Linked DNA regions of Xenopus tropicalis. The protein of the gene in region 1 purifies or fractionates together with the protein of each later gene. This does not show direct contact. Links are inferred from orthologs where the notes say so. Each region holds a gene or a part of one and is shown on either strand. Other genes may lie near its edges. The genes, in order: ocrl and plekhj1.

What was found.
Region 2: the proteins of ocrl (region 1) and plekhj1 purify together in Homo sapiens (co-immunoprecipitation; 3 studies listed by BioGRID and IntAct, counting the BioPlex papers as one, with this or other methods). This does not show direct contact. The link is inferred for Xenopus tropicalis from reciprocal best matches to the Homo sapiens genes OCRL and PLEKHJ1.

Annotation. Positions count from the first base shown.
Region 1 is NC_030684.2:52,467,055-52,482,775, reverse strand, and holds the end of ocrl (inositol polyphosphate 5-phosphatase OCRL), read left to right. Parts: intron 1-1,471; coding exon 1,472-1,591; intron 1,592-2,951; coding exon 2,952-3,036; intron 3,037-3,233; coding exon 3,234-3,361; intron 3,362-4,145; coding exon 4,146-4,257; intron 4,258-4,526; coding exon 4,527-4,651; 3' UTR 4,652-9,548; downstream 9,549-15,721. UniProt on the Homo sapiens protein: Catalyzes the hydrolysis of the 5-position phosphate of phosphatidylinositol 4,5-bisphosphate (PtdIns(4,5)P2) and phosphatidylinositol-3,4,5-bisphosphate (PtdIns(3,4,5)P3), with the greatest catalytic activity towards PtdIns(4,5)P2.
Region 2 is NC_030677.2:102,625,057-102,641,421, reverse strand, and holds the start of plekhj1 (pleckstrin homology domain-containing family J member 1), read right to left. Parts: upstream 7,919-16,365; 5' UTR 7,733-7,918; coding exon 7,639-7,732; intron 5,986-7,638; coding exon 5,918-5,985; intron 4,687-5,917; coding exon 4,620-4,686; intron 1,526-4,619; coding exon 1,435-1,525; intron 1-1,434. Other genes in the region: sf3a2 (splicing factor 3A subunit 2), read left to right, coding at 11,066-11,191, 11,274-11,345, 14,006-14,052, 14,578-14,687, 15,156-15,205, 15,580-15,720, 15,985-16,053.

The DNA.
Region 1 (15,721 bases):
CAGTGCTCCGTGGGATGTTCAAGGCTTTGGAAATCTTTTTGTAGCCTAAGCCTGCTTTAAATTTCTCAATAACTTTATCCCTGACCTGTCTGGTGTGTTCTTTGGACTTCATGGTGTTGTTGCTCCCAATATTGCCAACTTTTCCTTGCAGATCTCTTCCAATTCAGAGATCTTGGGCCATCTTGAATGATCTAGCCACGTACTGTCAGGCCATTCCAAAACTTTCATCTTACTTTTTTTCATGTAGCTCACGGTGGCTTTTGCAGTATATTTAGGGTCATTGTTTTGTTGTAGGAGCCATGCCCTTTTTAGGCTCTTGGCTGACTGTTTCACCTTGGCATCCAGATGTTGCTGATATTTAGTGTAACTTCTTTTTCCTTCCTTCCTACACATACAATGTTTTTTGTGCCACTGGCTGCCCCAAAACTCCAAAGCATAATTGATCCACCCCATGGCAAGGTGTTTTTTCACCACATGCTTCTGTTTTTCTCCAAACAAACCTCTGGTGATTGTGGCCAATGAGTTAAATTTATCAACAGTGCTTGTTTTCAAAAGGCCTCTGGCTTGTCTAGATGCTGTTTTGTTTACCTCTGTAATTGACATTTGTTATTTGGTCGCTGGTCCCTACTGACGACTTTCCATTCCAAATCATGTTGAACGGTACAACACCACTTATTTGTCAGCCAAGACCCTTAATACAAATGGGGTGTTACTAAATACTTCCTAGGGTGCACAAGCTTATACCCATATCCCAGTTACTATATTTTTGTTTCCTATGATTTAGGAGAAAAAAAATTAACTGCATTAACATTTGCAAATATGTTGCTTTAAGCAATAGTTGTCCTACCTTTCACTTTCAAATAAATATCTAATTTGGAAAGGTGGCCTAAACATTTGTATTCAGCTGTATAGGGTAAAGTCTAACCTAATGATCAGTTCTAGTGCTCAACGTTGTGGGTACATTGTATAATATGTGTAAGAACTGCTAATATGAAATCTACACAAAAAGCAAATATTTATGCAAATTGCAAAAGTTTTTACTTTACCCAATATGTCCCCTTTAAACAGATCGACATAGGATCTATAAATCTGTCTTTAAGACATGGCCACAGATGTATTTAATGGTTGTAACACAATGTAAATGACAGGCCAGAAGGTATGCAAGCTAATAGCTGGGGCATGTACAAATTCTTTGTCACACTGCAGAGTAAGTCTGTTCATTTGTGTAAAGCAATTAGTATCACTTTAAATAAAATGCCCATAAAAACACAATAACTGACCAGGAATGGAACCTCGGCCTCTCGTCGTACATTGTCTTACCCACTGAGCTGCTGTTTCAATGTGAAAGTAGCTTGTATCTTTAACTTGATATTTTATAGAGATTCTCCACTGTTTGATTTTTTAATGTGACTTTCTCTGCAGCATATATAGCAAGTGCTACAGTAGTTATTAAATCTCTGTATTCCCTTAGGAGAAAGCGGCTCTGCAGATGCTTCCACTGGAAAGTGATGAGACAGCTGACAAGCCCATGAAAATCCCAAAGGAGATCTGGCTCTTGGTCGATCACCTATATAAAAATGCTTGCCGGCAGGTTTGTTAGGGGGCGCATGGGTCTTTTCTTTACAATATCTATAAAACACACATCAGCAAACACTTTTTAGTTTGGTTCCTCAATGCAGTATATTAACATTGTGCTTCTCAAGCTGTTGTGAGTGTGGTTGTACCAAGGGTAGTCTTCAGCCCCTGCTGCTTGTCCTTTCCAAAGCCTCCTCTCTCAGCACAAACTTTGCAGTGCTCCATGCTGTTCATTTTAAATGATACTTTCCTTTTGTGCCCATAATTAGTTCATGTACTTATTGGTTAAATGCAGTAACCCATAGCAACCATTCAATTCGGATTGTACTGTCATAAGCTGGCCAAGAGGCCATACCAAATAAGATCAGCTCATTCAGGTAGGGTCATCTTGGCTCAATGATCAGTTGGGTCTGAATGGCAGAGCTGAGTACCACATCCATGATGAATGTATTTCTTACTTATTGTAGCCAGTCTTAAAATAGCTGACTGAGCCCCAACCAACAAATGTTTTTTTTTTTTTTTTTTTTTGCATGTTTGTGTGTAGGCAGCCATCTCAGTGCATTGTGCCTGAGTCTAAGCTTTCAAAAAGCATTCAAAAAACATTAAAACTGCTTTCAGGTAACCTTTTGTTTCTCCTATTCCCATGTAACTGGAGGAGTCACAAGCCGGACTTTGATTTCTTACTATCGAGTGCTATTCTGATATTCTGGGAGCTGCTATCTTGCTTATCTTCCCATTGTTGTGCTGATCGGCTGCTGGGAGGGGGGCGAAGGGAGGGGAATCTATAGCCTATAGAATTCCTCTTTCTGCTTTTTATAGGTAGTTATAGTTACTAATTAAAGTAAAAGGACATGTGTATTTACCAATTCAACCATAGAATTTCCTTAACAGAGAATTCTCTATACAGTAGTTTTAGTGCTCTTTTGAAGCACCCTATACAATGAAAGCAATATATAAATGCAGATAGAGTAAATATGCTGTGTGTGTGCAGCACAAGCTGTCCCCTTATACTCTACACCAGAGGTCCCCAACCTTTCTTACTCGTGAGCCACAGTCAAGTGTAAGATGACTTAAAGAGCAACACAAGCATCATAAAAGTTCATGGAGGAGCCAAATAAGGGCTAAGATTGGCTATTAGGCAGCCTCTATGCACGCTATCAGTTTACAGGAGGCTTTATTTGGTAGTAAATCTTGTTTTTATTCAACCTAAACTTGCCCCCAAGTCAGGAATTCAAAATAACTACCTGCTTTGGGGGCACTGAGAGCAACATTCAAAGGGTTGGTGAGCAACGTGTTGGGAATCACTGCTTTACACAGTCTATAAAGGAGTATCTATACACACAGTTTTTTTTTATATCCTCTTTGTTGTTTTACAGGAGGATCTCTTTCAGACCCCAGGAAAACAAGAGGAATTGCAGCAGATAATTGACTGTTTAGATACCAGCATTCCTGAAACAATTCGTATCCTTAAAAGGCTGTTATTGTATAGAGGTCGTCGTACTTTGTGTTCATTCATTTAACATAAACTGCTAAATATAACTTTGGGCCCTCCCTGTCGGGAGGGGCAGAGCATGATGCCTAATATTAATGACCAATGTAAAAGTATAATTGTTGACATGATTCCTCTATTTAGACAGACCTTAACTCAATCTCTCTAGCTGGTAGTAACCATTCGGTTGCAGAAGCATTACTGATCTTTTTGGAAGCACTGCCAGAACCAGTTATTTGTTATGAACTGTACCAGAGATGCATTGACTGCTCCCATGATACCCGACTTTGCCGACAGGTATGTACAATGTAGTTACAGTCCAATAGCTTGTATTCTTGTGGCAGGTAAGTGCATTCTCTCCATTTATTTATATCAAGCATATTTTATACCCGAACAGCCCTATTTGAGAAATAAACCTGTCATTGCTTAACACGTTTTTCAGAGAGATGTTGGTTCTCTTAAGACCCATGGCACATGGGGCATTTTCTCCACCAGTGTTTTTCAGCTGCCAGCAAAGTACACAAACATGGCCTTGTAGCTGGTCATGTAATTGAATGGAGTACCACTTCTCCTTATAGATTATAAGCTCTTTTGTGCAGGGCCCTCTTACCTCTTGTATTGGTTATTGGTTGCTTTGTGTGTAATTCTGTATGTATAAAACCATTCATTGTACAGAGCAGTGGAATATGTTGAAACTTTATACATACATACATGTTAATAATAATAATGGAATCCTCCTGTTGCTCAGCTGTAACAGGTCTTTTTTCCTGCAGGTATTTAATACAGGGATTTAATTCACGTTTATGAGAGGCTTTGTGGTCATATTCCAGCACTTTAATGCCAGCACTTTATGTGGGGGTTATGTGATAACATTCTCAAACTTTGCTTCAAATTTTGTGACTCACAGTATCGGTTACTAAACCTTTTAGCAATCTTTGTGCTTTTTACATTGCCAACTTGTTTCTGCTGGACATATATTTATGTCTCTGAGAATATTCAATATACTTTATGCTTAGGCACCTTTTTTTTTTTGGTTCTTGACCCCTGACTCTTGCTCTGCTGCTTATCTTTTTACGCATAGGTGATTTCTCAATTGCCGCGGTGCCATCGAAACGTTTTTCGATATTTAATGGCATTTCTCAGAGAGCTGCTTAAGTACACTGGAGACAACAACCTGAGTGCCAACATGATCGGTAAGGGCTTAGGATAAGTGAGTGCATGGGCATCTTTTATTCTTGTTGCATTTATATATAAACAGGGCATACATCTGCTAAGTATTCAGTAACATAAGGACCTTTCTGTGCAGTACTTGTGTAATCTGTAAAATACCCACTACAACCAGCCTAATCAAGATCATAGCAAATTTCTGTGTGACTGTTGGGTTATGCCAGCATAGAGGTTGTTGCCACCATTCCCCTTCCCAATTTCAAATATCTTTTTTTATCTTTTGTTATTTAAACAGCCACAGTCTTTACTAGCCTCCTGCTACGACCTCCGCCAAACTTAATTGGGAAACAGACACCGAGTGAACGGCAGCGGGCAATCAATTTCATTCTGGGATTCCTTTTGTCAGTTGATGAGGAGTAAGCCATATCAGGACTGTAAGGAGTGCTGTAGAGGATAAAAACAAGTAGGCACTCGTGCCAGGCTGCTACAGAGCCAAGGGACTATGAGTGGGAACATTGCATGGGGTTCTGATATCCTTATGGCAGGGAGAGAGAAGCCTATGCCAGTTGTAGTACTGTACCTATGCTTTTCCCACATAGTGTATACAATTATCTCCAAAGAAAGGACAACACTTCCTAGTTGGTTTATCTGTACAAGGTGTGGATTTGTTTTCATTGTCATTGTGGAACACCGGTCACCTTGTATATTAGCTATGGACCCACCCCTCTTGGTCAGGCTTCTGTCAGTCCTATCTTGAACAGTGGTGCCATTGTCACTGCTCTTTGTGGCTTTTTTCCTGTTAAAGTGATCTTTTTTGTTTCATTTCAGTGTATTATAGTATGTTGGAAGATATGAACTTCTTCCCATTCTGCCTCATAGGATCACATGATTTTAGGTTTGCACTTGGCAGGGATAAGCAGCCATGTTCATTCTCCAAGTTCTAAGTTAACTGTTCATGGTCTGTGATTTTTTTTTTTTTTTTTTTTACTGTATTTAAATATTTTCACCTGAAATTTGTTGGTATACTTGTTGACTTGCCCTTGCCTCTTGGATAGTCTTTCTTATACTTGCAGATAAGAGGGCTGTGATGAAAATTGAAAGCACCTTAGAACCAAGCCAAAGGTTAATGACATTTCTCAGCCAGTGTTCAGCGGATCCTGGCATTGCAATTATTACATAAAAAATCCAGGAGTATTACTGACAGGGTTCCTGGCATATGGAATTCTATATATCAGTGATGCCATCTGCTCAGCAAAGTCTTATAATGGTGGGAAGTCCTGATTTTAGTAGAATTGCATTAGACAAGCTGCACTTTACCCATGATCTGCTCTATATGAGCTTCCCCCTTTACACATGCATATCCATGTAACCTAGAAAGCACACACAGCTTCACTGTGACTTGGGTTCCTCGCTGCCTTGGTTTCTGTTTTTATGAACTCCCTGTTCTTTCAAGTAAATATTCCCAAAGGTACGGGCAGGGGGTGCATTTTAAGGTTTATTTCCCCAGGAGGAGTGTTAGTTTCCTGCAGGCAGTGGGCTGTTAGTTCAATGGCTCTGTGCTATTGTATATTAGAGGAAATTATAACAATCAGAGGTGTACACATGGGCTGTATGCATGAATGAATAGCAAGTGCTTCCAAGTGCAAACTGGTGCTCCGCTCATAAGATGCTAAACTACAATTATCACGATTCTACAATGTAATTTGGCAGTTGTACTTGTGCAGTGCCTGGATCTGAGGTGGGTGTCTTTACCTGCATTGGCAGCAGATTCCCCCATGTAGCCCAGGGGTATTTTCCATAAGATGAAGTGTCTTGCTAGCAAGCTGTGCACAATGTGCTCTTTTATTTGATAGTAGGTTGTTTTAGGCTTCAGGGCTATGACATCTGGGACATTTTTACCAGCACTAAAATTAGACAGAAAATAGCACACATAACAGTGCACAAACGCTCAGGCCTTTCTCAGTGGGGGTCCCCCTATCAGCGCTATTAACCAATGACCATTTTGTCTGCCACTGTTTTACCCCTGATCACATTGATGGTGCATACTGCTCCCTGCATACTGCTAGGCTCAAGTTTACTATTTTAATATTTTTATTCTGCAGAAAGGTCAGACACTACATAAAATAAATACCTTTCTGTGTACATGTACGCTCTCCACTCACCATGGTATCTGTGGGTTATTCATACAGCCAGGCAGGGCTGTCATTCACTAACACTAAGTCGGATATCTGCAACCTTCGGCTCCTCCTTGACTTTTGTTCCATTTTGCTTTTTCTACAGAATGTTTCCATTTATATTATTATTATATATTACTATAATTCAAAGTGTCGATGTCCAAAGTATTTTAATTGTGAAAAATGACCCCTGTTCTCTCTTATTTATGCTTTTTTTCATGCATGCTACTTTCTCTCCCATTGGTTAATTGGGCAGCTAAGTGTGTTATGGGAAACTGTCATACCTATAAAATGCAGCCATGAATGATGAGGGAACTAATAATGTAATATTAACGTAAATTACATATTTCAAAATCCATAAGCCATAATAAAAGATTCCGCCATGCATAGATGAAGCCACCTTCTCTTAAATGGGAACATTTTAATATTCAGACTGAGAGTCAGTGTATCTTTAATTCTAGTACTTTAATGGGCTACACCTAGTTTGGGTCATACTGGACAGTTATGCAGCAGATCAACTAAAAGCCACCAGACCTGATTTGTCCTAGTCATCCTGTAAGAGTTTAACTGGTTATTTTAAACACATTACCAGAGAACTGACCATGGGTGAGTAAAAGGCTACCTGTTTGATCATTTGCTTGTTGAATATGGAGCTACCAGGCTAATATACCTGCTGCTACTAGTTCCAACCTGAAGCTAATACAGTGACTGAATGGCATTTATCACTTAATATGTTGGTCATGATGGTCATGCAAAGCATTGACAATTTGCCTTTGGAAGATGCCAGGGCTCTGTATAGCAGGTGCTGCCAGAAGCCATTAAGGAACTTGGTACCCTTAGCTAATGTCAAATAAAGTAGTTCACCCTCTGCCCCAAATCATGTCTCTTGCGTGGTACCAATAACAAATATAAAGTTAATAAAATTGTGGATGAATGTAACTGAAACACATATACATTTGCATTTTTGCTTTATTACTGTGTCAGCATATTTTAGTGTTTTTAAATAACCAATTCTTTTTTAAATGTTCTTTTATGAGTATGGATGTTAAGAATGTATAGGAACTACTAAGAGAGCAACAATGAGAGTTGACTTGCCCAAAAACGGAGGGAAAGCAAATTCAATTCTAAGCAACTTTCCAATATACACTAAGTACAAAGTGTCACTGATTTTTTAAATGGATGGTTCACCTTTACATTATACAATGATAATCTTGGGCTATTTGCCTTTTATTTATTGTAGCTTTCTAGTTATTTAGCTCTCTGTTCGGCAGCTCTCCACTTTGGAATTTCGTTTGGATACTACAGTGTTATTTTCCCTAACCACCAGGCAGTAATTTGAACCAGAAATGGGAATATGAATAGAGGAGAGCCTAAATAGAAAGATAAATAAAAAGCAACAATAACAATAAAACTGTAGCCTTACAGAGCAATAGTTTTTGCTGGGGTCAGTGACCCCCATCAAAAAGCTGGAAAAATGCAGAAAAGGAACACAAAAATAAGACAAATTGCAAAGTTGGAACTAAACATTGTAACAATTGGACAAATTGTAACCACATATTTACAGTTTACATACATCATGCAGGGACTACAAAACCCACAATGCATTTCACTATGATGTCCTTTTCCTTATTGACATCACGTGTGCAGGGAATTGTGGGATTTGGATGATGCAGGTTGAGGGCAGTCAACTACTATTTGTTTAGGGGTTTTTGTTTTTTTGAGTCAAAGTAGTCAGGCAGATCAGCAGGAGAACAGGGTGCCAGGCTTAGGTAATTGCAAAGTTGCTTGAAATTATGTTTACTTTAAAAAAAGCTTACGTTTCGGTGGAGTTCCCCTTTAGGAAAATGTACTTTAGAGCTCAGTTATAATTGTAATAATTTGTTCCCCACAATGTTTAAAGAACCAAGTAATGACCTGAAACATCTGTATGTGCCTGGTACATGGATCTTATCGCTCTCAAGAGGAACTTTTGGATGTGTGTTTGCTGGCTGAATAGAAATATCACCCTTTTTCATATTTATTGTGAGCAGATCCTCCAAGCATTCTCCAATTCAGAAATTCAGCTTGTCGCTATCAAGCAGTGATACAAGGTTTCTGCTTTATTGAGTAGATAATCCATTTGTGTGTATATATATTCATTTTTGACCATTATAGTTTGAAACCACTGAGCACAAACCCTCCAATTCCGTATATAACTGTTATGAACTTGCTCTTCATCTTGCCAGTGATTTATTGCCACTGTCTTGTTTCCTCCATGGTACTTGCATTCATACAGGGCTAGTCGCAATTAGTTGGTCAAATGGATATTCTTATCTCATAATGTCTACCTTAATGTAATTCCCTGCCATACTTTATTAAATCTGTTTGTTTACCCAGTCAGTGGTCTTCATCCAACAAGATTTACCAACCTGGCAGGTACGAGTTAGACAGGCTCTTAGGAGGGCCCCATACATGAGCACGTAAGCTACCTGCTTGCTCTGAAGGGGCCAAGTTGGCAGCTTTTATTGGCCAGTGTATGGTCTGGTTGAGCCTTCTTCCATGCGAATAGGTAGTTAAGTCAAATACCATTTCAAGGTAGCAGTGCAGTAAGTAGTAATTATTTATGCCATGTGACTTGCCAGACAAATGTTTTGGTCCTGTGGGTCTATATCTGAAATCCCCAGCCATAAAGCAATACACAAGTGTAGTTTTCTGCCAGACAGGAAAGACACTTATACACACCCCCTAAAAATATTTTCCAGACTTGCACTAATTGTATTAAACCTTTTTTCTCTTTTTTATATAAATATATATATATATATATATATGTATATATATATATATATGTATATATATATATATATATATATATATATGAAACACTTTTTATTTTGAAGTCCATATGCGTTGATTGTTTTTATTCCACCTTTTTATACACTCCAGTAGGATTTCTGGGTTCATCTTGTCATATTTACCCATCCTAAAGGCTCTAGTGCAGGCGTCCTGTATCTCGCTGTAAGTGAGCCTCCTTCATACGAGCTAGGCAACTCCTCCTGTATCTTTCTGTCACTGTTTTATTTTTATATATAGGAAATAATTTATTTGGTAAATAAGATGTACTGAGCAACAATTGTGCAATCAATAAAGTACTTTTATGTCATAAACTGGCAGCACCGTCTCCTTTTGTAGCATGTTTCCCATGGCATAGGCTGCACCGGCACCCAGTGTCAGGCTCACTTACCAACACAGTAACCCATAACCACCAGTCAGTGACTAGCTGTGATCAGACAGCTGCAGATAGAACAATGAAAGGAACGTTTTAATTGGTCTGCATGGCCTATGTATGGCCAGCTCAAAAGGGGCGTATCAGCTTGAAATGAACTTTTAGTATAACATAGGCCAAGGTATTCTAGTTTGAGCTGTACACTGTTCTGCCACTTAGCTCAGCAAAAAGGGCTGATCAAGTAGAACTTCAAATCAGAATGGTTTGTGTGTGTGTATGTATGCAGTAATCCTAAGGTGTCTGCAGTCATACCCATTAAAGGTAAGTAAACCTTTAAAATATTATTTTATTTCAAGATTATAAGATATTAAGGGGAATGTGTACTGCTAATATGAATGAATTTTGTAGAACAGCGCCACCTACTAGTCAGTTTCTGAAGGGTTTGGCATGAGAAACAGGGGCGATTCTGGACATATCGCCGCCTGAGGCGGCTCCTGGATCCCGCTCCCCAGCGCTTACCTTCTGAGCGCAGGAGCGGGTCCGGGGGCGGTGAGATCGCTAGTTCAGAGAGCTCAATTGCGCTCTCTGCACTAGAAGAGCCAAATTTCCGTTTTAAAAACTGGAAATTTGGCTCTTAAAGTTACCAGGAGCGGCTTTTTGCCGCCCCTGGTAACTGGGGCGAGTTTCTCAACTCGCCTAATGGCAGAAGCGCCCCTGATGAGAAAGAAAGGTCTTATCTGAAGAACATCAACCGAGCTCATTCTCCTGACAGTTTCCTTGATATTAGATCACAGCTGGAAACTGACCAGCAGGTGGCGATGTTGTGACAAAATTAATACTAACTGTATACATTTCCCTTCATATCTTGGAATCCTCAAAAAATAGTCTTTAGAATAGCACTCTCGTCAATTTTACATTCACTTAAAGGTTTACCTATCCCTTAATGTTGCATCCAGAAGGGCTACCCATGGTTTTGCATACCATGGCCACTTAAAAGGGGTTGTTCACCGTTAAATAAACTTTTAGTATAATGTAGAGAGCTCTATTCTGAAACAATTTGCAATTGGCCTTCATTGTGTTTTATTTGTGGTCTTTGAATGATTTAACTTTTTGTACAACAGCTCTCCAGTTTGGAATTTCAGCAGCTATCTGGCTGCTAGGGTCCCAATTTAACCTAGCAGCCTGGCAGTGATTTGAAAGAGAGTATCAATAGAAGAGGCCATACATAGAAAGATAAGTAATAAAAAGCAAAACTCACAGCAATAGTTTTTTGGCTGCTGGGGTCAGAAGAAGGCAAATAATTTAAAAAGTATTTAAAAAAAAAAATGTAGACCAATTGAAAAGTTGCGACGAATATGCCATTCTGTAACATACTAAAAATTAACCTAAAGGGTGAAGCACCCTTTTAACTACCAATTTATCTGTGTGGGTGACCATATTATTGTAAAACATTGATCTTATACAGAGAGCTCTATGGAGATCCTGGGTATGCTGTGAGCTATAAAAAATATAGTAAAAGCCTTCAGTTGGACAGCCCTGATTTAAACCTTAGCAGCGCTCACTGACCAGTAATGGTTTCCTTGCTTTGTAACAGACAGAGCTATGAGCAAATGGGATCTGCACCCAAAAATTCAGGCTATGCTTAAAGGGGATGTGAAGTCAGTAAGAAAATGAGTCGGAGTTGTACTATTGACATTTACTTCAGTTTTTTTTATGTTGAACCATTAAAAGTTATTAGCAGCTTTCTACAGCCAACTTACTACTGGGGTCTTTCACATGTGATTTTACATACAAGCAATCTTTCCAACTGCTCTCACATATACAGTACACTGGAGATTTGCACTGGGCCTTAACCTCTTAATCATTCTTAAACAGAGGGGACTGAAAACATAGTAGCGCTTTTGATCTGGCAGTCCCCTAGGGTTAAGACGACTAAGAGGCTCCTTAGTTATAGAAGGACTTAATGGGGAACTATCATAAATGGGAACCTGCTTAACTTGGCTCAGTACTGACAGGCAGCTTGTGTTCTGAGCAGAGAGGATTGGGAGTGGTTCAACCATTCTTGACTGACTAACGTTCAACCCCAACCTGTGAATCCAACATACAGGAGTCTATGTGCCTGTACACACACACCGTTACCTGTGCAGAGAGGTCTGTAATATTGTTGCACTTGATGTGTCACTGGTATGGAGGAAGTCTCTTATACTCTCTTTTGTTACCCCTGTATCTGGCTATTAAAGTAAGATATGTATCTGTGTGTGTAAATTGCAGGAGGGTGACTGGCAACAAATCTAAGCCTGCTGGTGAGCAGCACAAACCCCAATGCAAAGGAGCCCGAAGTGCTGTGTATATGTGGATAGAAAGGATAGAAAGAATAAGCTGCTTTACTGTTATATGTACAAATTCAGCTCCATCAGCGCCCAGCCCAGCTCCATTCCTTTACCTTCCCTTTGCACATATTTGCTGTTGAGGGGTGTGGCCTCATGACATGCTACAGCAAATCAGCTTTCCCTCTGCTCTGTCACTCACACATTTCTGCGTCACTGATGCCATAACATTGTAACCGTGCAAAAATTTTAAAAGCTATTAATTGTCAAAATGTTTGTCTAGACTTTATATTTTCAATATTTTCATTTAATATTTTCATTTAATGTATTCTACTGTACAGCGCTGCATACATAAGTAGTGCTTTATAAATAAAGATATATATACATACATACATACATACATACATGATAGTTCCCCTTTAAGTTCCCGGGTTAAAGTATTCTCCTGGCAGTTCAGGAACTGGCCAGTAGGTGTCGCTATTTTAAAGCATATTAGTAAGAACAACGTTTTTGAAATCCATCTGGACAGTCTGGTGGGACATGATAATATACTACAACTGATAGTAGAGCCAGAGAAAGGATATCCCTTGTCATATATGACACTAGGGGGCCTATTTATTATGCTGTGTATATAAAATGATGGCAAAATTCAGCACACATCGCCAGGATTTGCTGCTTTAAAAAAAAAAATGCATTTTTACTGGAAATTACATAAAATAATGCTGCAAAATCTGCTGTTCAGACAGCGAAATTCAGCATTTATTTTACACAACTTTTCACACCACTTCTTTGGCGATTCTTGCTTTACACAGCATAATAAATAGGCCCATAGGTGTGATACCCCAGATTACAGAGGAACTTGGGGCATATTTATTGCAATGTTTAAGCCAACATCACTGGTGAGGTTGCCCATAGCAACCTGTAAGTAATTAGTATTGATCAGTCACCTACAAGTTAAAAAATAAAAGCATTGCTATGGACAGCGTCTCTGGTGATCTTGGCTTACACGCTATAATGTGTGTCTGTAGGAGACCTGGGGACTACTATAGCTCACATAGGTTCCACTTGAGAGGAAGCCTGAAAACTGGGAGTGTGATACTTTCGAGTTGAAATAGTCCAGTGTTCAATGACTGATCCCTAAGGGGAAAAGTACTATTTGTGAGTATATGTGGGAAAACGTATCATAACTCTTGGGCCTACTTCTTCTGTGACTCCTGTTAATAAAGCCTTTGCTGTTTAAGTGTAAGACTCACTGGAGCCCAATTTACTGCCTCTGTCCGAGAGATATAGTTCTACTACACCCTCTCCGCCATACACGTGGGCCCATTCCTGATGGTTGAGAGTAGCGTGCATAATTTGCTGATTAAATGGATAATTCCAGGAGCACTACGTGCCTCCATTTAACTAGCACCTTACAAACAGACTCACAGCCCTAGAAGATAGTGTTTATTTCAGTTGAATATCATTTTATTTATACACTTAATGCCTTATATCAAAAATTGGTGCAGCAGGCTGCTATTGATGCCAAATTGACAGGACAAATTGTAACTGCTACTCTCTCTATTCCAGGTACATTTTACATTTCTGAATATACGCTTCATGTGACCTTGCCCTAAAGTGCAGTTCTCCATTAATCTGAAACACAGACCATTGCTGGTGACAGTATCTTACCTTTCAGAGAATACTTAAGGACTGGCATGTACAAAAAATAATTCAAATGTAATTTAGGTGTTGAATAATGGGCCCCTCTTTATGTGTCACCCTGTGCAAACTAGAGTTTCCCATTATGGTGGATAATATGAAATAACAGATTATGTATTGGCCTACATAAAGAAATGAAGGGGTAGGTCTTGAACTAAATAGCCTTAAGGGAGAGAGATAGGGAGAGTCTGGGGGGCTTGGAGTGGTCATGGTGATAATACAGATTCCTATGGGATACAAGTCCACTACAGAGGCCAAAAGGGTCTCCTAGCAGACAAACAGACAAATGGCCCTGAAGAAAAAAAAAAAAAACCACAGACTTTAAACAGAACATGCTCTGAAAAATAGTCATTCCTAAAATTGCCACAAACCCTATGAACCTAATTTGTAGTTTCTTACAAACACCCATAGGTGACACTATAGCACTGTTGGTCAAGTCTATTACTGCACATAATCTGTTACTACAGGAGGGGGAAGCCTATTTCAGGTTATTTCTTTGCACTTGCATCTGGCACCCAATAATGAACCCAGAAGATACTGGCGCTGTTTCTGCATCGTTATATTACAGTCCAATTATTCTTATTTGATTTTTTTTAAGTATATCTTCCATTGATTAGGGACACCCTCATGATTACAAATACTAATGGAAATACTGACTGAATGAGCTGTTTCATTAAACCTCCTAATTCAGCAACACTGGGAATTGCACAGTATGTGTCTGTTTATGTATTTCAGATACAGTAGAATGGATTCACATGCTGGCTGATTTTCACTAACCCATGTTTGGCCATATAATAAGAGCTTATGCTGGGAAATGGGAGTCATCAGCTCCAGCAATGTAAAGTAAAGTAGCCATACATATAATATAATGACATTAGAAGCCACCTTGGAATACTTGTATTGCCCGATTCATTAGGCCAAATCTTTATACGAAATACACAAAAGCCATATCAATTGTAGTCTGTATACAGGCCAGTGTTACTCTGTTGATATGGCAGACCCATAGCGACAGTTAAATGTGGTGCCGCTCTGGGACTGTTTTTCTTCAACAAAGACTGGGCAGCTTGCTAAAATATACGTATAAATGATTGAATCAACCTCCCCAATCCCACTGTTGCTCCTCTACCAGTCCTGAACTGAAAGGTCAGCTCCTATAGTTGACCTTTGCTATTGGCTCCATGCAACAGGATTAACCCCTAAGCTCCCATAATACTGCCTATGCATATCACCTTACAGTACACATGAGCTCTATGCAAAAGATTAACCTCCCCAGTACTATAATAGTGCCCACCTCAGTCAGTTCCCTGCAGCTGCCTGTGTCCCCGAGATGCTCAGGTAAATCAAGTGAAGAGGACAGGTGATTACACCTCTTTTATATTTAATATACTGTAGCTAGGGTTGCGTTAAATTCCACAAAAAAGTCATATTTTTCTCGAAGATTATCACCATTTCAGAATTCATTCAAGCTTCGGTATCATGATTATCTTTTGGCCATGTTGGAGCTGCAGAGTGCCATTGAGTCCTATGGAAGGCTTCCAAAATCATTCATTGAAGTTTCAAAGCCAGAAAGGTTTTCGTGCTGTTTACGATCATTCGGATACGAAAATATTGTGACTTTCGGATCGCAACCACGATATTTTTGTACAACGAAGAAAAGAATGTGCAATTTTCGCACATAAGAAATTATCGTGGTTCCAATCGTGCTTTTAATTGGTGAAAAATCGTGCTTTAATGAATGGGCCCCTAGGTGTGAGTTATAGCTATATGGCTTGGGTTGCCAGATCCCCCCCCCTACATGCCCTGTGCATATATAGTACATCAGTTCAGCTTAATTCCATATTGCTGCATTTAAGCCAGATAGTGTGAAGCATGCATACTAAACAGATTGATAATGAGCAATTTAGTCTGTATTTTCAGGAAGAACTGTCATTAATGTTGATTTGGTGTGCATTACATCAATGAAAGCTTGCTTTGAGCAATTCTCTGCCACCTTAAGTACAGAAACTGGCACTTGTACCTTCAGCCTAAAGCATGCTATTGGCATTGTATTCCTTGGAGTCACATGAATTGCAGCAAAAGTAATATA
Region 2 (16,365 bases), on another chromosome or scaffold:
GATGTAATTAATCCTTATAAAATAATTCTATTGGGTTTATTTAATGCTTAAATTATTTTTTTAGTAGATAGTTATAGAGAGATCCACGGACCCCCGTATATGAGAAAACCCCAAGCATTCTGGATAACAGGTGCCATACCTGTATTTTTGTTATATATTGAAAAGGTCTCAAGTCATTAAAGAAAGGAAGAAACTAATTGCTGAAACAAAGCACATAACTCAGGCAGCAGTATATGTAATATTAAAGATAAAGGGCAAATTAAGCCTACAATGTGCTCGATGTGCTAAACCTGAGGGTATATGTAGGATGCCTGCAATAAACAACTGTAGAAGGCTGTCAGTACGGTATTTGTCAGTACAAATAACACAAAATGTACAGTTAGAACTTCCTACTCTAGGGATATGAAATCTTTATTTTGCTGACAATATGCCTGGTTGATAATATATCCTAGTTACAGTGGTGCAGTATCTAGGACAGTTTATGAACCCTAAAAATGTTCTATATTTTTATATGAATGTGACCTAAATCATCATATGATTTTCAAACAAATGCTGATATGATTATATATGAACATGTATTTATTGAAAAAAAAAAAAAAAAAGCAGCTTGAAAATTAGATGAGGTTTTAGGTCACATTTCTATAAAAAGACAGAAAATTTTAAAGGCTTCAAAACCGCTATACATTTTTGTAATCTACTACATCCTGTGTTATTTAACTGTTTAACAGCCAAAATGCTGCCATAAGTAACCCGCACTGGAGATTCTTACATGTTTTAAGGGGTCCTCCACCCCAAATATTTTTTTTTTTTTTTCTTAATGAAAGAAAATGTCATTCTTATCAACTTTTCCATATTACACATTTTCAATGTTTTTAAAGTTATGTGTAAATGTAATTGCTATTAAAAGCAATATCTCTTTTTCTTATCAGATCTTTTAATCAAATAGTTTGAATACTGTGATGGTCCACAGGAAGCCATGCTGGGGCACACACACGTGCATACTGATTGTGTCCTAGAGCCCGACACGCTCCCTGCATGCTTGCATGTGATGTAAAATCCAGTTTTTTCGTATTAATGTTCAGCTAGGGGCTGTGGCCCTAGGCTCAAATCCAGCCAGGGCAAGGGTGTTGTATGTTTTCCCAATGCTTGAATGTGTTTCCTCCAGGAAGTCTGGTTCCTCCTATGAGTGTGAATGTTATAGGGACCCTAGATTGTAAGCTCTGCTGGTGAACAGTCTTATGTAAAAGATGCAGAATCTCTCTGAAGTGCTTCAGAATATGTCAGCACCATATAAAAGCTAAGAAGAACCCCAAATGCTGTGGCAGTGCTATGTAATATTCATATTTTGCAGTGTGTGGAACAATGCAGATTTATTAAAATTCGCTAAATACAGTTGGCAGCAGGTCTGCCATGTTTTATTCAGATGCGACCTACCTGGCATTGGTTAGAGCTTCTACCCACTCTACACATTGCTCCTGGCTACTGCACTCGAACATGTACTTTTTTTCTGGCTCATCTATAAAGTCTGTCACAAGAAAATAACAGTGTAATTATGTTTCATACAAATAACGTGTTTTCTTCCTGGATTCTGTACTGGATACAAGTACTTTTCCCTGACTTGCATTTAACAGTCAAGACTATGATTTAGACAATAAATTAATACAGATTGTGTCTGTATTTTGTATTACAATGGATAGCTTTAACAAAATGGCAACTTCAATACTGTATATTAATTGTATGTACAGTGGTGTGAAAAACTATTTGCCCCCTTCCTGATTTCTTATTCTTTTGCATGTTTGTCACACAAAATGTTTCTGATCATCAAACACATTTGACTATTAGTCAAAGATAACACAAGTAAACACAAAATGCAGTTTTTAAATGGGGTTTTTTATTATTTAGGGAGACAAAAAATCCAAACCTACATGGCCCTGTGTGAAAAAGTAATTGCCCCCTGAACCTAATAACTAGTTGGGCCACCCTTAGCAGCAATAACTGCAATCAAGCATTTGCGATAACTTGCAACGAGTCTTTTACAGCGCTCTGGAGGAATTTTGGCCCACTCATCTTTGCAGAATTGTTGTAATTCAGCTTTATTTGAGGGTTTTCTAGCATGAACCGCCTTTTTAAGGTCATGCCACAACATCTCAATAGGATTCAGGTCAGGACTTTGACTAGGCCACTCCAAAGTCTTCATTTTGTTTTTCTTCAGCCATTCAGAGGTGGATTTGACGAACAGATGGCCGGACATTCTCCTTCAGGATTTTTTGGTAGACAGTAGAATTCATGGTTCCATCTATCACAGCAAGCCTTCCAGGTCCTGAAGCAGCAAAACAACCCCAGACCATCACACTACCACCACCATATTTTACTGTTGGTATGATGTTCTTTTTCTGAAATGCTGTGTTACTTTTACGCCAGATGTAACGGGACAAGCACCTTCCAAAAAGTTCTGAACTTCTGAACAAAAACTTTTGTCTCGTCGGTCCACAAGGTATTTTCCCAAAAGTCTTGGCAATCATTGAGATGTTTTTAGCAAAATTGAGACGAGCCTTAATGTTCTTTTTGCTTAAAAGTGGTTTGCGCCTTGGAAATCTGCCATGCAGGCCGTTTTTGCCCAGTCTCTTTCTTATGGTGGAGTCGTGAACACTGACCTTAATTGAGGCAAGTGAGGCCTGCAGTTCTTTAGATATTGTCCTGGGGTCTTTTGTGGCCTCTCGGATGAGTTGTCTCTGCGCTCTTGGGGTAATTTTGGTCGGCCGGCCACTCCTGGGAAGGTTCACCACTGTTCCATGTTTTTGCCATTTGTGGATAATGTCTCTCACTGTGGTTCGCTGGAGTCCCAAAGCTTTTGAAATGGCTTTATAACCTTTACCAGACTAATAGATCTCAATTACTTTTGTTTTCATTTGTTCCTGAATTTCTTTGGATCTTGGCATGATGTCTAGCTTTTGAGGTGCTTTTGGTCTACTTCTCTGTGTCAGGTAGCTCCTATTTAAGTGATTTCTTGATTGAAACAGGTGTGGCAGTAATCAGGCCTGGGGGTGACTACAGAAATTGAACTCAGGTGTGATAAACCACAGTTAAGTTATTTTTTAACAAGGGGGGCAATCACTTTTTCACACAGGGCCATGTAGATTTGGAGTTTTTTTTCTCCCTTAATAACGTAAACCTTCATTTAAAAACTGTAGTTAACGGTTTTTGATGAGCAGAAACATTTAAGTGTGACAAACATGCAAAAGAATAAGAAATCAGGAAGGGGGCACATAGTTTTTCACACCACTGTATCTATTGATTCTACCAAGTCCTTAATTTTACACTGCACACATATCATACTAACTCTTAAAGCTCAATATGTAAGCTTTTTAGAATTTAATACAAAGTCAGTCAGTGTCCTGTTGTTCTTGCTTGTGTGGCACTTTCAGGCACAAACATTGGTTTAGGGACCAGGAGATGACCCACAAAAATGCAGGTATTTTTAAGGTAAAGCTTGAGGGTCTAGCTATTTATGCAAGTCGTTGGGTCAAGGTTCTCAATATAAACGCATTTACTCCTTTTTAATCCCCCTCTGTTGGCAACATTATCCATGGTAAGCAGCAGGTGGGATTGGGTAAAGATAGGAGGGTCAATAGGGTAGAAATTGGACCCATGCAGAAGTCTACCTCCAAGAACACCATTTTGCATTAAAGCTTGAGTTCAAATAATTTCAAGCAAAATATACATTTATATAAGCAACAATAAATCATCTTCAGCTGACCACTGCAGTAAAGTGTTTGTATATGGTTCAGATAAATGTAGATGCTGAATTACAAATCACTGATTTCTAACTAGGTGAAGATGATGGTCAAAATACCTGCTATCAGCTTTGAATCATTTCCAACTGACATGATTAAGGGCTGTGGCACATGGGGAGATTAGTTGCCCGTGACAAATCTCCCTTGTCGCAGGCGACTAATCTCCCTGATATGCCATCCCACCGGCAAGAATGTAAATTGCCGGTGGGATGGCATACACGGCGCCGAAATTGCCGAAGTTCCTCTCAAGGCAGGTGGGATGGCATTTCGGGGAGATTAGTAGCGGGCGGAGGGATGCCCATCTGTAATGGCCCTAAGAAAGTGAGAAAAGTTAACCATAGTTCACCAGAGGGGAACTCCCAACTCTCTAAGCACTTATATAGGATTAATAACTATACCCCTAAAAACCTTGAAACTGAAGAGCTTTAAAATCTCCCTCTGAGGGACTGTAGCAAGCATTATTTTCACTCCTTTGAATATACCCCTATGTGCCCACTGCAGTTGGGAAATTGCTGCTATATTTAAATAGCTATGGAAAGAAAGAAACTGTCCAAATTTCATGTCTGCTTAAGTACTTATAGACTCCCCACAGTATAGTACCTGTACAAACAAATTAGTGCACAGTGAAAATGATTTTTGTTTTTATTCTAGTGAACGTTTATAATATGTTGAAAAGAACTGCGCATTCTTACTATATGAAGGCCACATCTGTGTCACAGTAATATGTCAAACTAAATCGGTAGTAATATGGTAACTTTTAAAATATACCACAAAACATCCTGTGTAGTATACAATAAGATTAGGGAAACCTAATCTGATACTCACGTATGGAAAATCCTTTTTCATCCTCCTTTGATACTCTGCAGTGTTCCAGCAGCAAAGCTCCAATGGGCTAAAACACAGAGTAATAGCAGCTGTTAAAAAGTACTGGTGAAGCATACCAGCAAGTGGTGTTAGGTGAGTTTAGGTCTAGCAGTAAAAGATGCAGAAAAAGTTCAATGAAGTTTGAGGAAGTCTCATTAGCTAAAGAAAGTGTTTGTGTCTTTGTAAATAGCATAATGACTGGATAATGTAGATATTAGTGTCAGGGCTTGATGCATAATGGGAAAACTAGTTAATGGAATAAATGATGGGTAATTAGGAAGCTGGAAAAAGATTTGAGGTTAGATATATAGGCAACAACAACAGTAATAGCAGGTGTCGAGGTACAGTCCTGCAATGGGTCAGATACTCGTGGATACACTGCATAAAAGGCGGGTTTCCCTAAAGGTTGCGGGTAGGATTTTTGGATGCAGGCATAGATGCGGGTCAGCCCCTCATGGATTGGGTTACGGGTAAGGCATTTGCGGATCGGGTTAGGTAGCAGGTCCAAGCTGCCTTCCAAGGTTAAAATGCGGGTTTGAGGCAGCTTTCAAAATATTGGTTCTGTGCAGGGCAGGACTCTATTTCAAGGCATTTTCTTATCTATTAATGACTGTACTCCATTAACTAACCACACAGAGAAACAGTGAAGTTGCAAGTAAGTTTCAGAGCGGGGATGTAAAGAGAGGGAATTACATGTAAAGCTAACTATATTTGTTAGATTTACAAGGCAGGGACCTCCTTCCACCTGTGTCTCAACACATGTAACTCAATGTTGTAACTGTGTATATTTATTGTTATATATATGGTCCCTGTCTGTGCTGTTGCTATATTGAAATAATGTGTAGTGCTGAGTATATAAATAGGACTTATAAATAAAGATATTTGTATACACACATTTGGAAACCTCACCAAACATGTATATTTTATATTTGACCAATCTTGCATTAGGAAAAGTTAAGCTGACGCGGCCATTTATATCCCAGACCAAAGGTCTCAAAGCGGGAACATTTGTAGATCTGTTGGGAGGGGCACCTGAATGCACTACACAATGCAGTCTGCTGCCAACATAATTCTTCCACCCTTCCCAATTAATATTTGATCATATATTGATCTGGTAAGTTATAGTTTTAGTTATATACACTGTCCAGTATTCTGGATCTAAATCAAGAGAAAAATCAAATGCTGGCTTATGTGCATGTATAGCTTTACCCCAGTACTGTGTAAAACTTATAATTGAAATTTTAGTTACTGTTTCCTACCTCCTCCTCATCTATGCGGAAATAAAAGAGGAAATTCACAACCAATTTTACCAGGCGCTTCTTCAGTACTGTAGAAAGAAATATAGTTAATTTCTGAAACATATCACATGCCTATTCAGTATTTAGTTTCTATTTAGGGAGTTTAAGAAGGATGGCAACAAGCTCTTATAAAAAACTGATCTAGTACTTTTGGATTTCTTTTTTCCTTTCTGTCTTCTGACTTCATCAAATGACATTATGCTACAGTTACTGATCCTTGCTGTAATTAACTCTTAACATAAAAAAAAAATGAGAATTTGTTAAAGGGGCCGTATACTGCCCTTTTAACGTTAGTTTAATGAATAGTGGTTACACCGTGAATCCCTCTGTATTATAAGATGCTCTTTATTTCAGTCTAACAAACCTTTCAGATGAGGGAATGGAGGAGTTTGTTTATACAAAGAGCTTCTAATTTGTTTTGCTTGTGCTCAGGCAAACAGGAAGTAGAATCTGACTTAACTGTCAATTTTAGATTTTGCCCTGTTTAAAGAAAGAAATAATAATAAAACCCACCATCAGTGCATGTATGGTGGGAGACAAGGCAACCAATATCAGTAACAGCCTTGGATATTGGTCACCTTGTGGATCAGCAGGGCTGAAAATTTTGATCAAGCACATTTGAAGGTGCCAGAACATTGTAATGTTAATCCTGAATCATCACATAGGGGTAAAGAATTCCTTTGTTTTTACCTGCATGTATGACGATTTAGCTCTTAACGTTAGTAAAATGGATGAACATGCTACTATATAAATAAGCTGCTGTGTAGCCATGGGGGCAGTCATTCAAGCTGGAAAAAAGGAGAAAAGGCACAGGTTACATAGCAGATAACTAGTAGATAAGCCCCATATAATGGGGGTTTATCTGTTATCTGCTAAGTAACCTGTGCCTTTTCTCCTTTGAATGGCTGCGCCCATGGCTACACAGCAGCTTACTTATATAAACTATAGTAGTCTTTCTGAGGCAAACACACCAGTTATACCAGTGCAGGGCAACAGTACATTATCTTGTTATTACTTTTATACACTTTCATTTTTTGGTGTTACTGTTCCTTTAACTTTCCCTTATGGAATTTTATGGATGTAAATTACAAGCAAATATCTTCATGTTGCTTTGGCTATATGGCTTAGATTTACTGGGTTGTATCTGTGCTGTTGAGCAAGAGGCTCTGGCCATAGGGACATAGAGGAATCATTTGCCTGTCTCTGCCTATGATTCCATAAGTGAGGGTTAATGCCTCTATTTGGATTTAAGGAAGTGCTACGTGTCTAGCATGAAGCTGAATATCTTATTTCACTGCATGTCAGTAATTGTATGTAACCTGTATATCTGATAAAGCTGCGGAGTAGGTTGGTGCTTTACAAATATGTGCTAATAACAACAACTATATGATAGGCACAGTAAGAATTATGACAGTATTAACTCCTCATACTTTTAGGGTGCTCATTTCTTCATGATTTAGCATAACAGTCTATCAACTAATGTCTCTTTATTTGCACAGCTTCCGTCTTTAAAAATCTGCCATATTTATCTGACAGCTAATTGCTACAGGGCAAGGTACACAGTTGCTTTAACTTGCTCCACAATTTGTTATTGCGCCAACTCTTGTTACAGAAATGATACATTCTTCCACGTTGAAGTTTACAATGTTAAGTGGCAAGGGCTGCACGATGGAATCACTCACCGCTCCCCTTCTTCGGGCCTCTCATACTCAGCTCTGCCGCTTTCTCTGCTCTCTGCCTAGAGAGGGACAGCAGCTCCTTCTCATTGTAGCGCATCTTCAGCCAACTGCATTGCCCGGGACTCGCCGCGGGCGGAAGAAAGGCTGCGGAACAGCCGGGGACTACACAAAAGAAGCAAGCGGAGTCAAACTCACTAGGGGACAGTTCAAACCTTTAAACTAATATTCATGTGCAATTATAGACTCCACATTATACACAAACTCGCAATAAGGCTGATAGCTGTCTAGCACCAGGAATGAACAACTCTGTTTATCTTAATAAAGTTATACACACCGTTGGCGTCACTTCCGGTATTTTCTGCACACTTCCGTCCTCTCTCGCTCGTCGTACGGCTCTTTGCCTCTTACTTCCGGTTTAGAATCCGGAGTGGGGGAACGTCGAGTTTGAGGTGCAAGAGGTAAGGCGCTATGGGAGATGGGGGATATTGTACAAAGAAACATAAACGTTATGTTCCTTATCTAGCAAATATAAACTTCCTTGCTTATGGAAATGGTCTGTGGGTGTCTCCATTTAAAGGCAAGCTGTGCACGTTGGAGTGCTTCTTGCCGCTTAGATTTGTATGTATCTCGGTTGTTTATTTAAAAATGTATGTACTGTTTCTTACCCTTTTTTTTTTAAAAAGACTGTTTCCCTTCCAAATAAAAAAAGCACATTGAGTTTTAACAAATATCCAGTGAAAGTTAGGATACTGCAGTTATCCAGGGTCTGTGTTTCATTTAGACTGGAGGCAATGGAGCAGTGCAGAGTTTGTATGCTGATTTGAATCGTCAATGCATTATACCTCCTAAACCACTGTGCATCCCAAAGGGAGTCCATAAATGGGACTGGGAATTATATCTAGGCGTTAGGGGTCATGGGTTTCAAATGCAGATTGTTACTATGTGGGCAGTGCCCTCCTCAATGTTTGGGACAAAGGCACATTTTTCTTTGATTTACCCCTCTGCCCTTAAGTTTAACATTTGAAATCAAACAATTCAGATGTGATTAAAGTGCACATTCCAGACTTTCATTTAAAGTTATTTGCATACATTTCAGTTTCATCATGAAAAAATGACTTTTTATACAGGGTGCCATAATGTTTGGGACAATTGGCTTCACAGGTGTTTGTGATTACTCAGGTGTGTTGCATTGCTTAAGGCTGATGCCACACCAGGCGTAGGGCGGCAAGAATTCAGCCCTACGCCTGCTACTTGTGCCTGCACCCGAGCGTATCCCATTCATTCGGGTGCAGGCACAAGTAGCAGGCATAGGGCTGAATTTTCGGCAAGCGTTTTTCCGCTTGCCGAAAAAATCAGCCCTACGCCTGGTGTGGCATCAGCCTTATAAGTGCAGGTATACAATATAATGCGTAGGCTTATGACTATGAAGATTTTCATTCATCCAGGTCATGGTATATCTAGTATAAATAAATCTAAAGCAACTGGACTTGTTAAGTAATCATTGAAGACGTTTCACTACTCATGATGAACACCAAATCCTCATTCAGTGTGTTACATAAAAAAAAAGAAGATTCGCCAATATAATGAATGAAGGCTACTCACAAGCTTCTGAAGAATCACAAAGCATATAATCATTTAAGTTGGTAATTCAGTCCAGATCTGCAGCTCTACTGCAGGAGCAAAAATTAATAGCAGCAAGCCGTATACTGCACATTTGCATTGGTTAGAGTGGATTGGGGCATTATTTTAATAGCTGTTTATACTAGTTCATGATGTCTGTTTAGCTTCAAAGCCTCAGTACAATTGGACTGGACAGTGGAAACTCTGGTGTGGCAATTTATACTTCACTGTCTGGCAGTCTGAAAAACTATTGTGGTTTTTGTGGATGCCAGTGAAACACTTGAGTGGGGATATTTTGTTATGGTTTGGCTTGTTTACCTTGTTATATATAAAAAGCAAAATCTAAGGCTACTGCGCACAATAACATTGTGCTTACTACTTTGTAGCAACAGTTTTGGGAATGCTCTTGTCTGTTTCAGCACAGTGCTGTCCCTATTCACAAATTAAAGTCGATACATAATGGGTTTGCTTACCTGTAAGTGAAAAAGCTTACTTACCTGAATAACCTTCCTAAACAACCACATAATCTCAACTCAAATAGCCATTTGTTGGATGAATTTGAACACCGATTGGGAGCCAACACCAATGCCCAACCTCACTAAATCTCTTGGGCTGCATGGAAGCAAATCCCACAAACAATGTTTCAATATCTAGTGGCAAGACATCTCAGAAGAGTAGAGGATATTTAAGCAGTAAAGAGTGGACCTCATATTAATACCCTTGGATTGAGATGGCAGGAGTTTAAAACCTTCCTGCCTGTATGAAATCTACCACTTTGGGGTCATGGTACTTGCAGTGTTTTGAATGCTGCTGCTAGTAGCAGTAAGCAAAACTCCTCTATTCAAATCCTTTAAAGGAGACACATTGGATAAATGGGAAAAACCCTAATTTTGTAGGCAACTATGAATAATATATGGTACTGGTTTCACTTTGGGCTAAAAATGAATCCTATCTAAAAATGGTCCTTTTATTGGACCTCCCTATAGATCCTATCCATTCTCTGTCCGTGTTTCAAATGAAGGGTGGGCGTGTCCATAATGGTCCCTGCTAGAAGCACAGCAGGAGGGGGATAGCCAATCACAGCCTTGCACTCACACAAGCAAAGACAGGCTTCAGTTCCCAATCAGATCAGCCTAACTGCTGATTAGTTCCTATCCTACAATGCAGTGTACTGAGAGCCGCCAGCTCCCCTGCACATAAAGAGAATTCAGCCAGCAGGAAGTGGAGCAGATGGGCGGGACTAGTGGGGTTGTGGTGGAACACAACTTTTTTTAAGCACAATCCTTCTATATCTAGAGGAGTATAATTCACTGGTATATTCTTATTTTATATATATGATATCTCTCCTTTAACATTGAGTTAAATGGAATGTAGCACAGGATGCTTAGCGTCTTGTACTTATGCTAAAAAATGTTTGCATGCCCATTTTTGACCACTGCTACAATTAAGGCTGATGCCAGACGTGGCGTAGGGCTGATATTTTCGGCAAGCGGAAAAACGCTTGGCGAAAATACAAACGCGAGACTTTGCATTCTCTCACGTTTTCATGCGTATATCGGCTACATGTGCCTGCACCCGAGCGTATTCCATTCATTCGGGTGCAGGCACAAGTAGCAGGCGTAGGGCTGTATTTTCGCCACGCCATTTTCCGCTTGCCGAAAATATCAGCCCTACGCTACGTCTGACATCAGCCTTAAGGTTATGAAAACATCATAGCCCTTGCTTTGAAACATTTGCTTCAGTGGGTAACTTAAGTTTGAATTTCTCGTCAGGTGTTTGATCTTGCTTGTATCCTCGACAATCCCCAACCATGGATTTCCAACACAGAGCCGGAGGAAAGACCGGCAGCGGAGGGGTGGCTTCTGCATCTGAAAGTAACAGAGACAGAAGGGAGCGACTCAGACAACTTGCTTTGGAAACTATTGACATTAATAAGGTACTATAAATATTTAAGAGGGACCTAGGGTTGCATTAATAACAATTATTTAATTTAAAATATATATATATTTTTTTTATAGGATCCATACTTTATGAAAAACCACCTTGGCTCTTACGAATGCAAGCTTTGCCTCACCCTACATAATAATGAGGTAAGTTGAAGGAGAAAGATTGCAAGCACTCATTTTGACTTTAAAAATAGTTTTTATAAAAAAATGTGTTAGTACCACACTTTGGCCAAAATATATAACCTCACTGGTCATGTCAAGGCCCGTCATTGTATGTGAGTTGTACACTGTCTATTAGTATTCTAAGTCTGTAGTGCATTTAAAATCAAGTCCCCTGTGATGGCCATGACAAGTAAAGTTCCATGTAAAAATGGCTCATTTGATTAGTATTATAGCATATACAGGTCCTTTTCAAAAAATTAGCATATTGTGATAAAGTTCATTATTTTCTGTAATGTACTGATAAACATTAGACTTTCATATATTTTAGATTCATTACACACAACTGAAGTAGTTCAAGCCTTTTCTTGTTTTAATATTGATGATTGTGGCATACAGCTCATGAAAACCCAAAATTCCTATCTCAAAAAATTAGCATATTTCATCCGCCCAATAAAAGAAAAGTGTTTTTAATACAAAAAAAGTCAACCTTCAAATAATTATGTTCAGTTATGCACTCAATACTTGGTCGGGAATCCTTTTGCAGAAATGACTGCTTCAATGCGGCGTGGCATGGAGGCAATCAGCCTGTGGCACTGCTCAGGTGTTATGGAGGCCCAGGATGCTTCAATAGCGGCCTTAAGCTCATCCAGAATGTTGGGTCTTGTGTCTCTCAACTTTCTCTTCACAATATCCCACAGATTCTCTATGGGGTTCAGGTCAGGAGAGTTGGCAGGCCAATTGAGCACAGTAATACCATGGGCAGTAAACCATTTACCAGTGGTTTTGGCACTGTGAGCAGGTGCCAGGTCGTGCTGAAAAATGAAATCTTCATCTCCATAAAGCTTTTCAGCAGATGGAAGCATGAAGTGCTCCAAAATCTCCTGATAGCTAGCTGCATTGACCCTGCCCTTGATAAAACACAGTGGACCAACACCAGCAGCTGACATGGCACCCCAGACCATCACTGACTGTGGGTACTTGACACTGGACTTCAGGCATTTTGGCATTTCCCTCTCCCCAGTCTTCCTCCAGACTCTGGCTCCTTGATTTCCGAATGACATACTTTGGACCACTGAGCAACAGTCCAGTGCTGCTTCTCTGTAGCCCAGGTCAGGCGCTTCTGCCGCTGTTTCTGGTTCAAAAGTGGCTTGACCTGGGGAATGCGGCACCTGTAGCCCATTTCCTGCACGCGCCTGTACACGGTGGCTCTGGATGTTTCTACTCCAGACTCAGTCCACTGCTTCCGCAGGTCCCCCAAGGTCAGGAATCGGTCCTTCTCCACAATCTTCCTCAGGGCCCAGTCACCTCTTCTCATTGTGCAGCGTTTTCTGCCACACTTTTTCCTTCCCACAGACTTCCCACTGAGGTGCCTTGATACAGCACTCTGGGAACAGCCTATTCGTTCAGAAATTTCTTTCTGTGTCTTACCCTCTTGCTTGAGGGTGTCAATGATGGCCTTCTGGGCAGCAGTCAGGTCGGCAGTCTTACCCATGATTGCGGTTTTGAGTAATGAACCAGGCTGGGAGTTTCTAAAAGCCTCAGGAATCTTTTGCAGGTTTTTAGAGTTAATTTGTTGATTCAGATGATTAAGTTAATAGCTCGTTTAGAGAACCTTTTCATGATATGCTAATTTTTTGAGATAGGAATTTTGGGTTTTCATGAGCTGTATGCCACAATCATCAATATTAAAACAAGAAAAGGCTTGAACTACTTCAGTTGTGTGTAATGAATCTAAAATATATGAAAGTCTAATGTTTATCAGTACATTACAGAAAATAATGAACTTTATCACAATATGCTAATTTTTTGAAAAGGACCTGTAGATGCTGAGTTGTTTCATTAATACCTGTCATTGCCCCAGCCCTTCCAAACATCAGTTAATATGAGGACGCACTCATAATCATCCACCGTGTAGATAATGTGCAAATAAAAAGTAGTTTATTTACAAAAACAGCATGCAAATAGCCTTGTGCATTTCATGCCTAAGTGGGCACATAAACAAGGGCCATGATGGAAATGGTTGGTATTAATGTAAGTGTTTGTGAGAAGGATCTGTGCCTTTTGAATTGAAAATATATTGGCAATGCAAAGACTTTGAGCTAATAACTCAAACTAAGTAGTAATACATCTAGTAAATGTTTATGAGTAAAGTTGGGGATATTAAAATTGCAAATGTATAAATCACTTTGACATTATGCAGCTACTGGGAATTTCCAAAATAGCTGGGGCTAAAAATGCAAAGCAGTGGTATGTTGTGTTGCAAAAGTTCAATAGAATGAGCTGGCAGGTGCGTTTAGACACTAATGGGATTATGTAATAAAAAGCACTGAGTTTGCCCAGGTGCTGTGACCTATAGCAACCAATTAGCAGGTTGCATTTACTGGTCACCTGTTTAAAAGAAAAAATCTTATTGGTTTAAAAGGCATAAAGGTCATTTTCTTATCGCATAATTTTATTTTTTTTATTGTGACATGCTCACTCATTTTGACTCTCTTAGATGCTATTAAGGGGTATTCAAGAGTTACACAAATGCATAGTATAACCCACTTTCAAGTACATATGCAACTAACTGAAAGGATATGTATTTACTCAAAAATGCCACTTGCTTCTCCATTCATTGTTGGTATCTTCTCTTTCTGTAGGGGAGTTATCTGGCTCATACACAAGGAAAAAAGCATCAGACAAATTTGTAAGTTAAATGTGCTGATTTTATGCATTAAAAAACACAGCAATGTCAAGTCAAAGTTTCCATTATTTATCTAAAGAATGTAAACATAGCCACCCCCAAACTGTACTTCAGTTGAACGTTGTGGTGGGAATTCCTTCCTAAACCCAAACTTGACAGATAATTGTAGGAAAGGAAACCACCCAACCCATTTTTAATTCCAACCAAAACCAGTCCTCCATGCATCTTGTCAGGGTTTGTGCACAACATCTACAGTTATTAACCGCTTGCTGCAGGTAGATCATAAAAGGTATGGTGTTTGCAGTCAAGGGAGTAACTGCCAGAGCCATAGGTTTTAATGTTCTGGCTTTCTCCATTCTCTTAACCTCTCAGATCGAGAGGTGTGGCAGAGGAATGGTTAATTCTCCTTAATTTTAAACATTTTAAGTTGTGTCAAATTGCTGTACTGATTTCTCTGGCACTGTCTTATTAAAGATCATTTTGTGAACAGTTGCAGACATTCTTACTTTTTTTTTTCCTTTTGATCAGAGCTCGCCGAGCGGCCAAAGAAGCAAAGGAAGCACCAGCACAACCTGCCCCAGAAAAAGTAAAGGTAGAAGTGAAGAAATTTGTCAAAATTGGTCGACCTGGATACAAGGGTGAGATTAAGTGTTGTGTCAATATGTCTTTTATATGAATGCAGTGGTTTATAACCCTGATTCCAACATAATAATCTTTTTTGGTATCCTCAGTCACATGTGGATTACCCTTACATTTAATAGCCTATCTTTTTGTTTGAAGACTGGTTATGCTAACATTTGGCTTAATCATCTGCTTGCAACAGTCCTCTGCACCCATCAGTGCAGGTATATCACTAGGTGCTTTCAGATGGATGTCAGAATTATGCAGTCACACTTTCATCTACCTTTTGTTGCTGCTGTTAGAATGTTTTAAACATTTAGAAGTCCTGTTAGCAAATGTTTCCAGCATTAGTGATGTTTTTTGCACTGATATTGATTTGGCCACTCAGCATTGCAGCTGTTTCTGCCCTGTATCTTGAATGTGAAAGAGTAAATGATATTATTTCACTGACTGATAATAAAGCCATACATTTATTTATTTTCTAGTGACTAAGCAGAGAGATCCAGAAATGGCCCAGCAGTCTTTGTTGTTTCAGGTAATAATGTGATTTACTGATATGCCATCTCTCTTAGACTCTATTTTAAACAAATAATTTAGATTTTTAAAAACAAAGTCCCTTTTTCTGTAATAATAAAACAGTACCTTGTACTTGATGCCAACTAATATAATTGTTACTTATTGGAGACAAAACAATTGTATTTGGTTGATTTAAAGAAAACCCTGGGTCGCAAGCAATCTGGATAAGAGGTTCCATACCTGTATTACAAAAAATTCTATATTACTGATGACAACAAGTATTGTCATAAATGTTACCCCTAAAACAATAACCAATATGTCAATGATGCTCCAGATGCTATAGGGGTGCCCATGCTGTAATGATGCTTCAGCCCTGTCTTTCTTTCTCTGCAGATTGACTATCCTGAGATAGCTGAAGGTATCATGCCCCGACACCGCTTTATGTCTGCATACGAACAGAGGATTGAGCCCCCAGACAGACGATGGCAGTACCTGCTGATGGCTGCAGAGCCCTATGAAACTATTGCTTTTAAGGTAGGATAAGCTATAGAGCAAGCCTTTCTCTAGCATTTGAAACCATAACTTTGAAAAACTCGCACATACAAAACCCTTCTCACCTTATAACACAATTATATATTCTTCAAATACGATTCAGTAGGCGTACCAAACACCCACCATTTCTGCAAAATGACATATTTTTAGTACAGCCTGCACTAACCTACTGAAAATTGACAAGAATTATTTTATCCATGTATCCAATTGTGGAATTTCTACAGCACTTTTTCTTTTATCCAACAGGTCCCAAGTCGAGAAATAGACAAAGTGGAGGGAAAGTTTTGGACACATTGGAACAGAGAGACAAAACAGGTAATATAAAATACATCTTGTGCAAAAGGGGGATCCCTCACGTATGTACCCTAGTAGTCTTAATTACATGTGTTCATTTTGTGCACATTTTGCATATTTCCTCCAAGACAAGATAATTGCCTGACGTGTGATTGTGTACGCAGTGCCCAGGTGATCACTATAAAAGTCTATGGAAGGGCAGTTACAAGCTGCCCACCAAGCTGCAAATTATACAGGGGTGGGTGGCAAAACACCTACAGTCCTGCAGTATGCCATAGGGATAGTTAATTTAATAGTTTTGCCTACCCTTTTTTCTTTAAATGCCAAACAGGC